Linked DNA regions of Arabidopsis thaliana. The protein of the gene in region 2 binds, or shares a complex with, the protein of the main gene of each other region. Links are inferred from orthologs where the notes say so. Each region holds a gene or a part of one and is shown on either strand. Other genes may lie near its edges.

Evidence for each region. The genes of interacting proteins can lie anywhere in the genome.
Region 1: the proteins of TRX z (region 2) and FLN1 are in contact, whole or in part, in a cryo-EM structure (PDB 8XZV), measured with the Spinacia oleracea proteins. The link is inferred for Arabidopsis thaliana from one-to-one orthologs. Residues at the interface, in XP_021862427.2 of Spinacia oleracea: Tyr73, Val75, Lys77, Ile83, Thr84, Val87, Arg88, Tyr100, Ala101, Thr102, Trp103, Cys104, Gly105, Pro106, Cys107, Ile108, Ala111, Gln112, Lys129, Asp131, Thr132, Asp133, Asp134, Tyr136, Phe138, Arg140, Asp141, Met142, Gln143, Val144; in XP_021865197.1 of Spinacia oleracea: Gln111, Lys112, Glu113, Phe114, Val115, Pro116, Ser117, Val118, Arg119, Val120, Ser121, His123, Gln124, Met125, Asp126, Pro127, Asp128, Ile129, Tyr130, Trp133, Met136, Gln137, Pro141, Phe143, Asp175, Phe176, Lys201, Ala203, Cys204, Ser205.

The regions. Positions count from the first base shown.
Region 1 is NC_003074.8:20,025,059-20,031,796, reverse strand, and holds FLN1 (fructokinase-like 1), read right to left. Parts: upstream 3,746-6,738; 5' UTR 3,653-3,745; coding exon 2,930-3,652; intron 2,655-2,929; coding exon 1,962-2,654; 3' UTR 1,742-1,961; downstream 1-1,741. Other genes in the region: AT3G54085 (Yos1-like protein), read left to right, coding at 4,781-5,017; AT3G54080 (Concanavalin A-like lectin family protein), read right to left, coding at 5,348-6,400. UniProt on the Arabidopsis thaliana protein: Required for proper chloroplast development, most likely through regulating plastid-encoded polymerase (PEP) dependent chloroplast transcription.
Region 2 is NC_003074.8:2,121,167-2,127,651, forward strand, and holds TRX z (Thioredoxin z), read left to right. Parts: upstream 1-2,988; 5' UTR 2,989-3,109; coding exon 3,110-3,340; intron 3,341-3,655; coding exon 3,656-3,778; intron 3,779-4,385; coding exon 4,386-4,466; intron 4,467-4,562; coding exon 4,563-4,679; 3' UTR 4,680-4,990; downstream 4,991-6,485. Other genes in the region: IMPA-1 (importin alpha), read left to right, coding at 1-55, 134-265, 373-558, 639-802, 890-968, 1,546-1,674, 1,776-1,903, 2,008-2,389; GATA15 (GATA transcription factor 15), read left to right, coding at 5,492-5,512, 5,597-5,761, 5,836-6,099. UniProt on the Arabidopsis thaliana protein: Thiol-disulfide oxidoreductase that plays a role in proper chloroplast development, most likely through regulating plastid-encoded polymerase (PEP) dependent chloroplast transcription.

The DNA.
Region 1 (6,738 bases), about 18 Mb from region 2:
AGTTCAAGTTGGGTAAATTAATGTAAGCCTATTTTACAAAACTATTGTGGTGGGATACTATTGCTTTCCATATTATCGAAAATTCTAGTGGCTTGAAAAATTGTATTTTGAGGCAAACTAGTAATGTTTTTTTAATATTAATAATTTAATTTTAGTAAGTGTTATTCTAATAAAAAATTCAAACAAAATATGTAAACATAATTTAAGCAATGAAATCATCTTTTAAGAATCAATTAAGTAGAAATTTTGGAAGAACTATATTTGAAGACAACAAGCAAAACAAAAGCAAAAGAGAAGCAAAATATAAGCAAAACCATAGCAAAAAGTAGTAATAAATTATTTTTAATGCCATAATAATTAGTTTAGAAATTATAATTTTTAAAAATGTATAAATTGTCTATTATAATTCTTTTTTATAAACCACTCATGACCATCAAAGCACGTTGTAAACCACTCATGACCACTTATCCTACATTTTCTAAAAACTGTTCATGTGACTTCTTTATTCAACTTATATTGATACTATATTTTTTTATAACTAGAGAGAGTCCAGATGGAGACATTATTGAATGCATCCATACGAGAGATCAACCTTCTTTTAATTATCCTCTCCTTTGGCGGAAAGATTGGTTTCCCATAAGACCGGAGCAGCGGAAAGAGTCATTGGAGGACACGAGGCAAGTATCCAAAATCCGACTACTACAAATCAAAGATGTCGAGCAACACGTCTTTCTATTATGGGGGATTTGAACATGCAGGAGCTGTTCAGCTTAGATTCTACTCTGTTATTTTATGTTTTAGTTTTTGTCTTTTCTTACTCTTTTAGGTTTCTTTTTTTGTGGCTTTGTTTTGTTTGTTGTATCGGGATACCAAATAATATTCAGTTGCTATATATGTTCATTAACTGGACAAAGAATTTTTATTATGTATACGTCTATTACAAAGTATTTTTCTTTTGAATTCTTGATATATATATAGAAAACATGTCTAGCCAAATCTATTTATGATATTAATTCTACAAATCAACTAATTACCAAGAGGTTTGATTCAATAAGACGTGAGCTGATTACCGCTACATTCACTTTATTTTGTCTGCTCTCTCTTCAATGATATCAACCAAAATCAGAATGAATGTGCCAGTGGTATCTAATGCAATATGTAGCTAGACGATTTTAGCATGCAGAAAAATTAACTAACGTTGGTTAAAAAGTATGAAGTATACAAAATTTATCATTCTCTCAAAGTCTCAAGAAAATATCATGTCTAATGGAGGAACAATTTTAAAAATAACTTACCCATCCCCCTAAGCTAGGCTACTTATAAAGTCTTTATTTGATTTAATCACTTTCAACGCATACTTAATTTTGACAAACTGTCTTTGACATCACAAACTGAAATATTGAAGTTATTAACATTCATTTCAAGTCCCTCTAAGGCTCTAACTACATATCTTACCAAGCAAAGCTGGGAAACATCACAAACTGAGATATTGGAAGTTACCACCCAAAAACTTCTTTGCGTTTGCTTTTTCTTTGACATCACCATAAGTAAACATCCCAATATCTCTTTCAAATAAGTAAACATCCCAAAAATCTTTGATATTTTATTAAATATTTGGCTTGTATTATGTGAAATCTGATTGCATTGTTCAAAAAGTCCGTGAACACTTGTAAATGCAAGATCTGATTGCATTGTTCTCTGTTGAAAAGTTTTGTAATTAGAATTAGGAGTAATATAGCACTAAAAAAGTACGATTCATTTTCCATTTGTATGATTGTATCCGATCAAGACAGCTTGTAGAATCGATTCTCCTTTCATGAGAAGCATCAAGACTTGGACCATCCAGATTGAACTAAAAAAATTGATTGTACATTTCTCTGGATTACAAATCTGAATCAGTATACAACTCACACATTGTTCAAAAACATTGAGTACACAAGTTCAGTTCTTCATCTTCTATTCTACCACATTGATGGAACATAAACTTGTTCTTTCAAATTCTGTGTCGCGCTTTCAGTAGGGAAACCTCTAACTGCACCAATTGTCCACTGCGCTATGATCCCAGCAGCAACTGCAAACCTGAGCTGTCGCTCCATCACATCCTGATCCTCAAACATCTCAGGACAAGTTGTTAGCTTTCTCATTATCCCTGCAACAACAGCATCACCAGAACCTGTCCTATCACAGGTGAAAGGAGTTATAAGCACATCTTCTGTTCCAATCACAACACCATCAAAAGTAGGAGTATAGTAATGAAGCCGAAGTGTTCCATCAGTCACAACCAGTAGCTTCAGCTTGTCATGCCACAATGACTTGATTTCCTCTGGTGTGTAATGGTAATAGTCTCTTCTGTTTTTCGTCTGATCAAAATCCTCAGCGAAGTACTGTGGTGTGTAGTTTCTTCTCCTCTCGTAGTAATCTTCATCAAGTAGAAACTCAAGCTCTTGCTGTGAAACTTCAATGATGTTTGCTTCATTCCATGCTTTCTTGATCAACTTCCTAGTCTCATTGCGCGATCTCCACAGCGGTAATGGGAGATTCAAGTCAAAGAAAATAAGCCCACCAAACTTCTTAGACCATTGTATTGCCGTAAAAAGAGTTGATTGCATTGTAGGAGACGTCAACACTTCTGAATTGAAATGAAAAATCCTCGCCTGCATTAGAAGCACCAGTAACAAACAAAAAGCTTAAAAACCAAGCAGAGAAGTGCTCTGTTTCATTATCCAAATCTTATCCTTTATGCTCAAAGACAGAGACTTTTGCATAAGAAACCAAGCTCGAGCTTTCATGTCATAAACCCTAGACTAAACTTGTTCCTCCTAAACCCTAGGTGCTCTGTTTCATGATTATGCTCGAGCTATAATGTCATACACCCTAGATTGTTCCTCTTAAACCCTAGATTGTTCCTCATAGATTGAAAGATTGTTACCTCTTTAAGCACAGCTAAATTGAGTTCTGAAGCAAATAGCGAGTCCTCAGGTGGTTCTTTCACAGTCTCCGCCATCATTTTCCCGTCCTTAAACTTGATCTTGACACGAGTACAAGCAGTTTTCGAATTCTCATCGAATTTCACAGCTCTCGTCTGAACTCTCTCCTGATTCATCATCAGAACAAGCTCATCTCCAAAATCATCTTCACCTACTTTCCCCATAAACGCAGCTCTCCCACCTAACCGTACATGAGAGATCGCCACATTCGACGGCGGACCTCCCGGAGCTCTCCCAAACTCCGGTGGATCCCACTGTAGCATCTTCCACTGCGAGTACATATCAGGATGCATCGGATTATCATGGACTCGCACCACCGGAACAAACTCCTTCTGTACAGCTCCGAAGCAACACACAAGAGGCGGATCGTCGTACGGAAACTCGATCCCGTCGTCGTAATCAGCTAACTCCGGATTCAATTCAGGATCAGTCTCGGTGTTATCTTTCTCAATTACCGTCGATGTTTGCTTCTTCTTCCTCCCTTTGCGACTAGGTTTAGAGGTGGTTTCCGCTGCAGCTCCGTTTGTGATTCCGCTGCCATTAATTGAAGCTTTCGGAGTGAGAAATCGCCTTGATGCTTGTGAATGGCGAACTACTAGTACCTCTCTACGGTCCAGTGAAGAATCAAAATGGTGAAGGTGGGGGAAAATAAGAAGTGAAGCCATTGATGGGTTTTTGACACCACTGTCAGGGTTTATCCAAATCTTCTTCCTCTTCAAAAAAAAACATATCGGGTCCTGACCCGACTTTTATTCAAACCGGGTCAATCCTAACCCGGTTCGGGTTTTTACTTAATGCTGAAGAAGAAAAATCAGTTCAATTTTCTAAAGAAGAAACAAATTAAACCTCACCGACGGATTCAATTCTCTCGTTCTCAGGCCGTCTTCATCGCCGGAGCGTTTTCTTACGGTAATCTTGCACTCGATTCAGCTCCTTCATTTTGATTTTTTCTTCACTGGTTGTTGCTAGATTTGGGTTTTTCGCTTCCTTGTGGGAATTGATCGATTAGTTTGGCTGCTTCTTCTATTAGCAACCTTGGATCTTCATTTACTTTCTCGATCTCATGTTTAGGTCAGCAGTTTCAAGGTTTATGATTCCTGCGTAATTTATTGCATAGCTTAAAATTGGGATTGTGTATTCTCTGTTTCTGTACCAAGCTTAGCTTAATCGGTATGCATTTGCTCTAATATCTATTTTCACATTTTGGTTTAGACAAAGTGTTCATTGATAGATTGTCTTCTTCACTTGTGAATTGTGATGAAACTTAGTAATCTTTTGATTGCTGAAACTGGGAAGTCTCAGGATTCCTCTCTTCTTCTTTTTTCATTCAAGATGTTGTGATTGACTAAGTGTACTTTTGTTGAAGCAGATCCACAAGAAAATCTCATCTAGTGCTCTTAGGGTTGATCGAGCTTGTTGCTTTTCTCGTGAAGCATACTTATGTTGCTTATGTGATTAGCATATCCTCAGAAGTGTTGATATACAATATGTCTAGGTTAAGGCTCTTTGGAATGCTAACTCGGTGACCGTCCTGCCATTGTTTAGATTTCTAGATATTATTGCAAGGCAGGAATAAGTTCAATCTGGTGGCTTTTTTGATGTGTTAGAAACAAGATTTTGCACTGCTATCTTCATGGTTCTCTGCGCTTTAGATCTACAGAACACATCAGTAGCTTACATTTGCATGCACTTAGTCTCCATTCATTTTGTTTCTAAACCTATTAAAAGATAACTTTGTTCCACTCTCTTTCCCTGATTCTGATCATTTTGAGCTCTATGCATCACAGAAAAGAATGGGCTTCTGGACATTGTTAAAAGGTCTGCTGCTCTTTGCAAATGCACTGGCAATCCTCAACGAAGACCGTTTCCTTGTTCCAAGAGGATGGACACTCGGAGAACTCCACCAAACCGATAGAAGAAACTCTCCCAAAGGCCAAATCATTGGTCTGATCCATGCCTGCCAGTACATGAGGCTACCCCTCATGCTCATTAACACAGCAGTCATCGTCTTGAAGCTTATCTCCGGTTGAAGATTTTGTGTAGATGAAGATAAACTACATTGCGTTCTTCAAATGATTGTGATTAGTTACAAATCTATTTTGTGTAGGAGTTGGAATTTGTTTTTGTCATCCCTCGCACTCAAGTTTGGTGTGCATTCTACAACATTCTTCTCATATTTTTACATGCCAAATCAAACTAAAATGCCAAATGGTAACAAGGTTGCAAGCTTACACACATGAAAATAAGAAGGGGTTACATTAGCCAGTGAAGAACCTCGTGGATAACTAGTTACCAAGAATCTACTTGACTACATTAACAGTTCACATATCCTAAACACACAAAAATCACCAAACATGACTTCACTTCCTTTCTTGTTTCGCATCAGCATTACTCGTCACAACTTCCATTTTCTCCATCTTCTTATACCCAAACTCCTTGGTCTTGATCCCACATTCCTCCTGCATCACCATCGCAAGATTGTTCCTTTTGAAAGCTGCATATATATGCATCATGGCAAAGAACACAAGCCCTGTTGATCCAAAGGTCATGACGAAGCAAGTGACAACCTCCCACATCCTATCACTTGTCCTCTTCTTCGCAGCCTCCTCTTTTCTAAGTTGTTCCTCTTTTCTAAGTTGTTCCTCCAAAAGCACCGGCGCCCAAGAGTGCTCATACTCGGAGTGTCTCACTTCTAAACTCCAAGAATGAAGATTTACATTCCCACTATACGAATTCACAGCAACCATGAACTCATCCTCATCTCTCAACATTTGTGACAAATCAATCTGATCAAACATCAGAGGAAGAACAGATTCAAAGCTTTTAGATTTACTTAACCGGACTTCTAAGAACTTGCCACCAGCTTGGTAATTAATCCAAGCGTACAACAAAACCTTCTCCGTCTTCTCCAAGTTTGCGATCGTGAAATTGCGAATCCTCTCAGACACCGTAGCACCATCAACAATCACCGCGACATTAGAATCTCCAATTTGGGTGAAACTGTCAAAAGTATCGAACTTTACTTGGAATAAAGAGTGATCAAACGTTTCATTAACAGGAAACACTACAAATCCGAGTCTCCCACCACGACTAGGAGAAATCGAGAAAGAGAAGAAAGTAGAGAATCCGGTGAAATACTCGAATTTTATATTGTTCATGGACTCAATGGGTTTCTTATAGATGACTCGCCCACCACCGTGACTCACTGAGTCAGTCAGCTGAATCGAAGATCCGCCGTCGACGAGCTTAGCGTCGCCGTACAGGGCAAAGTCTTCGGACTCAAAGCTCGCATTTTTACCGGAGCTTGTGAACGAGAACGATGAGGTAGCTTCCGAAATCGAGATGCTGGAGAGTAATGCGGTGAGAGACAGGAGTAGAACGAGTAATGACCTGGAGAGAATGAAGCTCGCCATTAATGAAGCACGCTTGCTTTTGAGATTGATTTCTAGGGTTTAAAATTGGAGATGGGATCGGACCCCTGATGGAGAAGAGTAAAGTGGTGACTGTGGTGGGGGAAGAGAGAGAGGAAGAACAGAGAGGTATGGGTCAAGCACTTGGACAATGTGAAAAAGCGTTAAAGGTGTCAACTTTTGTCTCCCTCGTTTCTGAGTTTTTCCCTATCTTTGTTTTCACTGTTGTAAAACCCCAAAAATGCTTATCTTTTTCATTTAATTCCAATTACACTCAAGTGCATTTTATTTAACTCCAGTTACAAACTCGACATGCCAAATAGTTTAGTAGCACAAAATAC
Region 2 (6,485 bases):
TGTTGTTCCTAGGTTTGTTGAGTTTCTTAAGAAAGAAGATTACCCCGCCATTCAGGTGAGATAATTAATGTCTCTTATTGATTCATTCTTCACTGTAATCTTCTCTTCTCATCTTTTATGATTTTTATTTTAGTTTGAGGCAGCTTGGGCTCTAACAAACATTGCATCTGGAACATCGGATCACACTAAGGTTGTAATCGATCACAATGCTGTTCCAATCTTTGTTCAGCTTCTTGCTTCCCCTAGCGATGATGTTCGTGAACAGGTATGGAACTTCTGATGACTACAGAATGTCTTCTCATTTATTATGAGAGATTATGCAATTGAAAATTTTGTGAAACCCTGATCTTAAGATTTCGCTCTAACCTGCAGGCTGTATGGGCTTTGGGTAACGTTGCTGGTGATTCACCACGGTGCCGTGATCTTGTTCTTGGATGTGGGGCACTGCTTCCGCTGCTCAATCAGCTTAATGAGCATGCTAAATTGTCCATGCTTCGAAATGCCACTTGGACCTTGTCAAACTTCTGTCGTGGCAAGCCTCAGCCTCACTTTGACCAGGTCTATTTTTTTCCCCTCCAAGCTTGTTTCGTCAATGTTTATGTCTAGTATTCTTCTAACATATGAAGCATGTTTAACAGGTCAAACCTGCTCTTCCCGCCCTTGAACGACTAATTCATTCAGATGATGAAGAAGTCTTGACAGATGCCTGTTGGGCTCTTTCTTACCTCTCTGATGGGACCAATGACAAAATCCAGACTGTCATCCAGGCCGGTGTTGTCCCAAAACTTGTTGAACTTCTCCTGTCAGTACCATTTTATAATTCCCTTATTTCATGTCCACTTCACACATTTGTTGACAAATAACTTGATACCTTGCTCTTGATTTTTAGCCATCATTCTCCATCTGTGCTAATTCCTGCTCTTCGCACTGTTGGAAATATAGTTACTGGAGATGATATACAAACACAGGTATGGATCTAAATCCTGTCTATTGAATTTCTCACAGTATTTCGGTTTTGCACATTGTATATGATAGTATATATTTTTCCTACTATGCCAAAGAATATCTTTGTGGTTATGCAATTCTTTGGCCTTTAGGAATAGGTCTGAAGATACCACTAGAACTTTTCATTAATTGAACCGATAGCAAAAACATGTCGAAGTTAGTGATATACCATGCATATCATCTAATCCAAGACTGGTAATTGCGATGAGGTGTTGTTCAAATGTATGGCACCCTGTTGCTATTATTCATATCCAACATTTTATGTGAAAAATGGGAGTATTGAATGCTTATCATGAGATTCTCCCTCTGTTGCCACTCTGTCCATATTAGCAGATAGGATGCAGTGCCTTTTTTGCTATATATTGCTTGTGTTTGAGTTTTGTTACAATTAATTCTTGTTTTAAAGTTTAAACCAACAACATGCACAAATTTTTTGCTTGGTGAAATTTGGTTTTTCATGAGTTTAGCAAAGGTGATTTTTCTATATCTGAAATAGTTTACATCGTTTTACTTGGAAATCTGATTTTACTTCTTCTCCAGTGCGTGATCAATAGTGGTGCTCTACCTTGTCTTGCCAACCTGCTCACTCAAAACCATAAGAAAAGCATAAAGAAGGAAGCTTGCTGGACGATTTCAAACATCACAGCAGGCAACAAAGATCAGATCCAGGTAGGCAATTAGTACTGTTTCATCATATGTTTTGTACCGTTTCCCATCCAGACTTCTATACCTATTCATTAATTGTGTTGTTTTTCCCCTGATGGTTGCAGACGGTAGTTGAGGCTAATTTGATTTCCCCGTTGGTGAGTCTGCTTCAAAATGCTGAATTTGACATTAAGAAGGAAGCTGCATGGGCAATTTCAAATGCAACTTCAGGTGGTTCTCATGATCAAATAAAGTATGTCACTGTCTTTTTTGCGTTCCTCTAACTTCCAGTTTCTTCTCTCATATATATACTTTGTGTATATATATATTGATGTTCTGTTCCCGTTGGTTATACAGATACCTGGTGGAGCAAGGGTGCATAAAACCATTATGCGATCTCCTGGTTTGCCCAGATCCAAGAATCATAACTGTCTGCCTTGAAGGATTGGAAAACATTTTGAAGGTGGGAGAGGCAGAGAAGAACTTGGGTCACACAGGAGACATGAACTATTACGCTCAGCTGATTGATGATGCAGAAGGGCTAGAAAAGATCGAGAACCTTCAGAGCCATGACAACAATGAGATCTATGAGAAGGCTGTTAAAATTCTGGAGACATACTGGCTTGAAGAGGAAGATGATGAGACACAGCAACCTCCAGGTGTTGATGGTTCTCAGGCTGGGTTCCAGTTTGGAGGGAATCAAGCTCCAGTACCATCCGGAGGATTCAACTTCAGCTGAAGGTAAATAAAAGTAAAAATTCTTAAATTTCTAACAACGTCTCTTGATGAAAACATGCAAAATCTGATATTTAGATCAATATAAACCCACAGGAATGGAATTGGAAGCTTGCAACTTGAGAATGGTGAAAGGTCAGAGTCAGTCAGAGTCTAGTTTCACTGCCATGGTTATACTCCAGGTCTGGTCTGGTCTGGTCTCAGAGGTTTGTACCGGGTGGTCGGTTTAAAAGTACAGCGTCTGAGAAAGTGTTTGGTTCATTGTCCAGGGCTATTTTTTTGAAATGACTGGTACACCGGTCGTGAGTCGACCTTTGTGTTGTTTTTAAATTTTGGAGGGTTATAAAAACTTACAGTGGAGTCTTTTGTTTTTGTGTTGACAACAGTTTGTATGTCGGTTAAAAAATTGAAACCATAAACCCTTTATTGGTCTTAATATGTTTGGTGTCTGATTTCCTAAGGAAAGGTTTTTTTTTTTTTGGTCAAACCTAAGGAAGGGTTTATCTTCGAGTTATAAAGACTCGAATCTTTATTTGAATTATGAAGTAAAGTATACATAAAACAGCAATAAATTATTATGAATTTGACTTTACCTGAGCAAGTAAATTGTAAAAAGACAAGAACTAATGAACTATTAGTATATGTCCAGTTCAATTGCCTTATCGTCTAAAACCCCTCAAAAGCTAAAACTGAAATCATTTTGAAGCAGAAATCGATTTCCAAAATGGCTCTTGTTCAATCCAGAACTTTTCCACACCTCAACACTCCGTTATCGCCGATTCTATCCTCCCTCCATGCTCCGTCTTCTCTCTTTATCCGGAGGGAAATCCGACCGGTAGCCGCGCCGTTCTCCTCCTCCACCGCCGGAAACTTGCCCTTCTCGCCGTTGACGCGTCCGCGAAAGCTTCTCTGTCCTCCGCCTCGCGGCAAGTTTGTCAGAGAAGATTATCTTGTGGTACGGACAATTTCTCGCTTTCTCTCACGCTCCAAACAACATATTTTGTCGATTTCAAAAAATTTCATGTTTGTTTTCGTTTTACGACTTCCTTTTTCGCCTTTCTGGGAAATTAAGTTGGCTGGGCATAGATGTAGTTATTATATAAGAACGATATATGGTAGTTCTATCAAAGATTCGACCAGTACACTGTTAAATACTTCAGAATAGAGATTTGCTTAATTTGAATCTTATGAATGACTCTTGTTGATACCATCATGTGGAAGCCTCACTGATTTCTGGATGTTTTTTGTTCCTTTTCTTATGGTTTGACAGAAGAAATTGTCAGCTCAAGAACTTCAGGAACTGGTGAAAGGAGATAGGAAGGTGCCGTTGATTGTTGATTTTTATGCGACATGGTGTGGACCTTGTATCTTGATGGCCCAGGAACTAGAAATGGTACCATGGATTCTCATAACTCAACTTTCTTACACATTCTCCATTTCACTTGCTTCATGTGTAGACTCTAGAATGCTTATATATTTCCAAACGTTGGCTCTTGGAACCCGGTTGTTCGTTATAATATACTTGAATCTTGAAATGTGATGGTATATTACTGTTAAGTCTAGTGCAGTACTATTGTAACTTGCATAGGAGTTGGGCAGTGCATTATAGCTTTGGTAGCTCATCAACAAATCTTTACAGTTTACTGAGATCTTAATGTTTAAAGAGGGGCTATGAAAATGTATTGGGGGCACTCTGGATTTGTCTTGGGTCTTGGTTTGGCAATTGACTAGAGTTGAAAGACCGCTCTCATTAATCAAGTCTCTTCTATGGTTTAGTTCTTTTGGTGAATTAGATAAAGGAGTTAAACAGTTCCAATCTTACGACTGTTTCTCCCATACTTTATGACAAAGATACCTTGTCGCGTAGTTGGCATGTCTACAAATTCAAAAGAAATGTGTGAGATAGGAGAATCTAAGCATCTTCTTATTGATTGGCTTTATCTACTTGCTTTTTCACTCATGACACTCGTGTTAAATAGTTTTTGCTCATTGTGAAACAGCTTGCAGTAGAGTATGAGAGCAATGCAATAATCGTGAAAGTTGATACAGATGATGAGTACGAGTTTGCACGCGACATGCAGGTATACTGTAACTTGCAGCTTATGTTTTTAAATTTCATGAATCTCCTCTCAGCATATCAATGTAAATTCTTACATTAACCAACTCTTGTGATACAGGTTCGAGGGTTACCTACATTATTCTTCATCAGTCCTGACCCAAGCAAAGATGCAATCAGGACAGAAGGGCTAATTCCGTTACAGATGATGCACGATATCATTGACAACGAGATGTGAAGTTTTTACTGAGAAAACACTTTTGTACTCTTTATGATTTGATTAGAATCGCCGTAATTTAGGATTGGTACCGTGTTGTTTGCATTTGAGATGTGGTAAGAATGTCTTCTAGTTTCATAGATGAAGAATGTAGTCTTAAGACATTTGTTTGTATGCAGTGTTCGTTTCAATACCTAAGTGAAAAGGTTAGAGCTGTTGATCTGGTCGGATCCAAGTTATGTGGCACATCAAATTCACGATCCGGTCCATGTAATAACACTGTAGCTTAAACTTGGAAGAGAGAGATATGACGTCATTAAAGACTTTTTCCCCATTTCTTGGTTGACATTAAACCGGGACGAAAGTATTATTAAACACCATTATTAGGAAAAACACGACGCCATTCGAAATGGCGCCCAAATTATGCGAAAATTTTCCTACAGGGTTATGTGCGATATTTGGCGGGTGGCTCTAGCCTGATATTAGAGGACGTAAACAGGGGTAATTTCGTCTTTTAAAGCAATAAATTAAAGCTAGGGTTTAGCCGAACCAATTTCATTTATAATTGGCCATTTGGTTTAGTTTTTGTGAGGTATCTGTTGGGTCGTTTCTTTGAAATCAAAAAAAAAAAATCTCTGTTTCTCTGACACTCTCTCTCTCTGTTTCTACTTTCAAGATTCAAATTTTTGTTCCCCTGATCCACTCGTCTTTGAATTCTCATCAAGTCTTATATGTTTCTTGCCTACTCTGATCTCTATCGGAAACCCTAGATCCATATCTTCTTGACTTGACACTAGTTCACGAATCACGATCTGCGGTTCCTGAAGCTGGTAATGCTAGATCCCACCGAGAAAGTGAGTGATCTGATTCCCTCTTCTCGCTCTGATATCTAGCGATCGGATTGATTAAGCTTAACGCGCTACTACTTCTGTGTTTAGGTAATCGATTCAGAATCAATGGAAAGCAAACTCACATCAGTAGATGCGATCGAAGAACACAGCAGCAGTAGCAGTAATGAAGCTATCAGCAACGAGAAGAAGAGTTGTGCCATTTGTGGTACCAGCAAAACCCCTCTTTGGCGAGGCGGTCCTGCCGGTCCCAAGGTTAGTCTCTTCCCCGATCTTAATTTGACCTAATTGTTATCTAGTTCGATCTGATCCGATTGCTTTTTGTGTAGTCGCTTTGTAACGCATGCGGGATCAGAAACAGAAAGAAAAGAAGAACACTGATCTCAAATAGATCAGAAGATAAGAAGAAGAAGAGTCATAACAGAAACCCGAAGTTTGGTGACTCGTTGAAGCAGCGATTAATGGAATTGGGGAGAGAAGTGATGATGCAGCGATCAACGGCTGAGAATCAACGGCGGAATAAGCTTGGCGAAGAAGAGCAAGCCGCCGTGTTACTCATGGCTCTCTCTTATGCTTCTTCCGTTTATGCTTAACGAATTTTCTGGATCTTAAGTTTTAAGGTGAAATAATAATTAATTTTGTAGGATGTGTAACGAATTAATGTGTAATTTTTGTATGCGTTTTTTTGGTGTTGTTTGAATTAACTAAATTTTGAAATTTTTGTATCTTGTTTATGTGATCTCTGGTGAAGAATGAATGAATGAATGAAAGGTCAAAATGATTTTCTTCCGACAATTGTATTTTATTGAAAAGTTTTGTCTTTATTAGGACAAGAATGGAGACTGCCTATCTGTCAAGCACATAGATTTTATTTTGAAACTTTTCACGAAAATTCTAATGTTCGAATTTGCCGCTTCTTTTCCAATGAAACCTTGAAAACAACCAAATTTTCAATAAACTTTCCCTCGCTAATTCAATA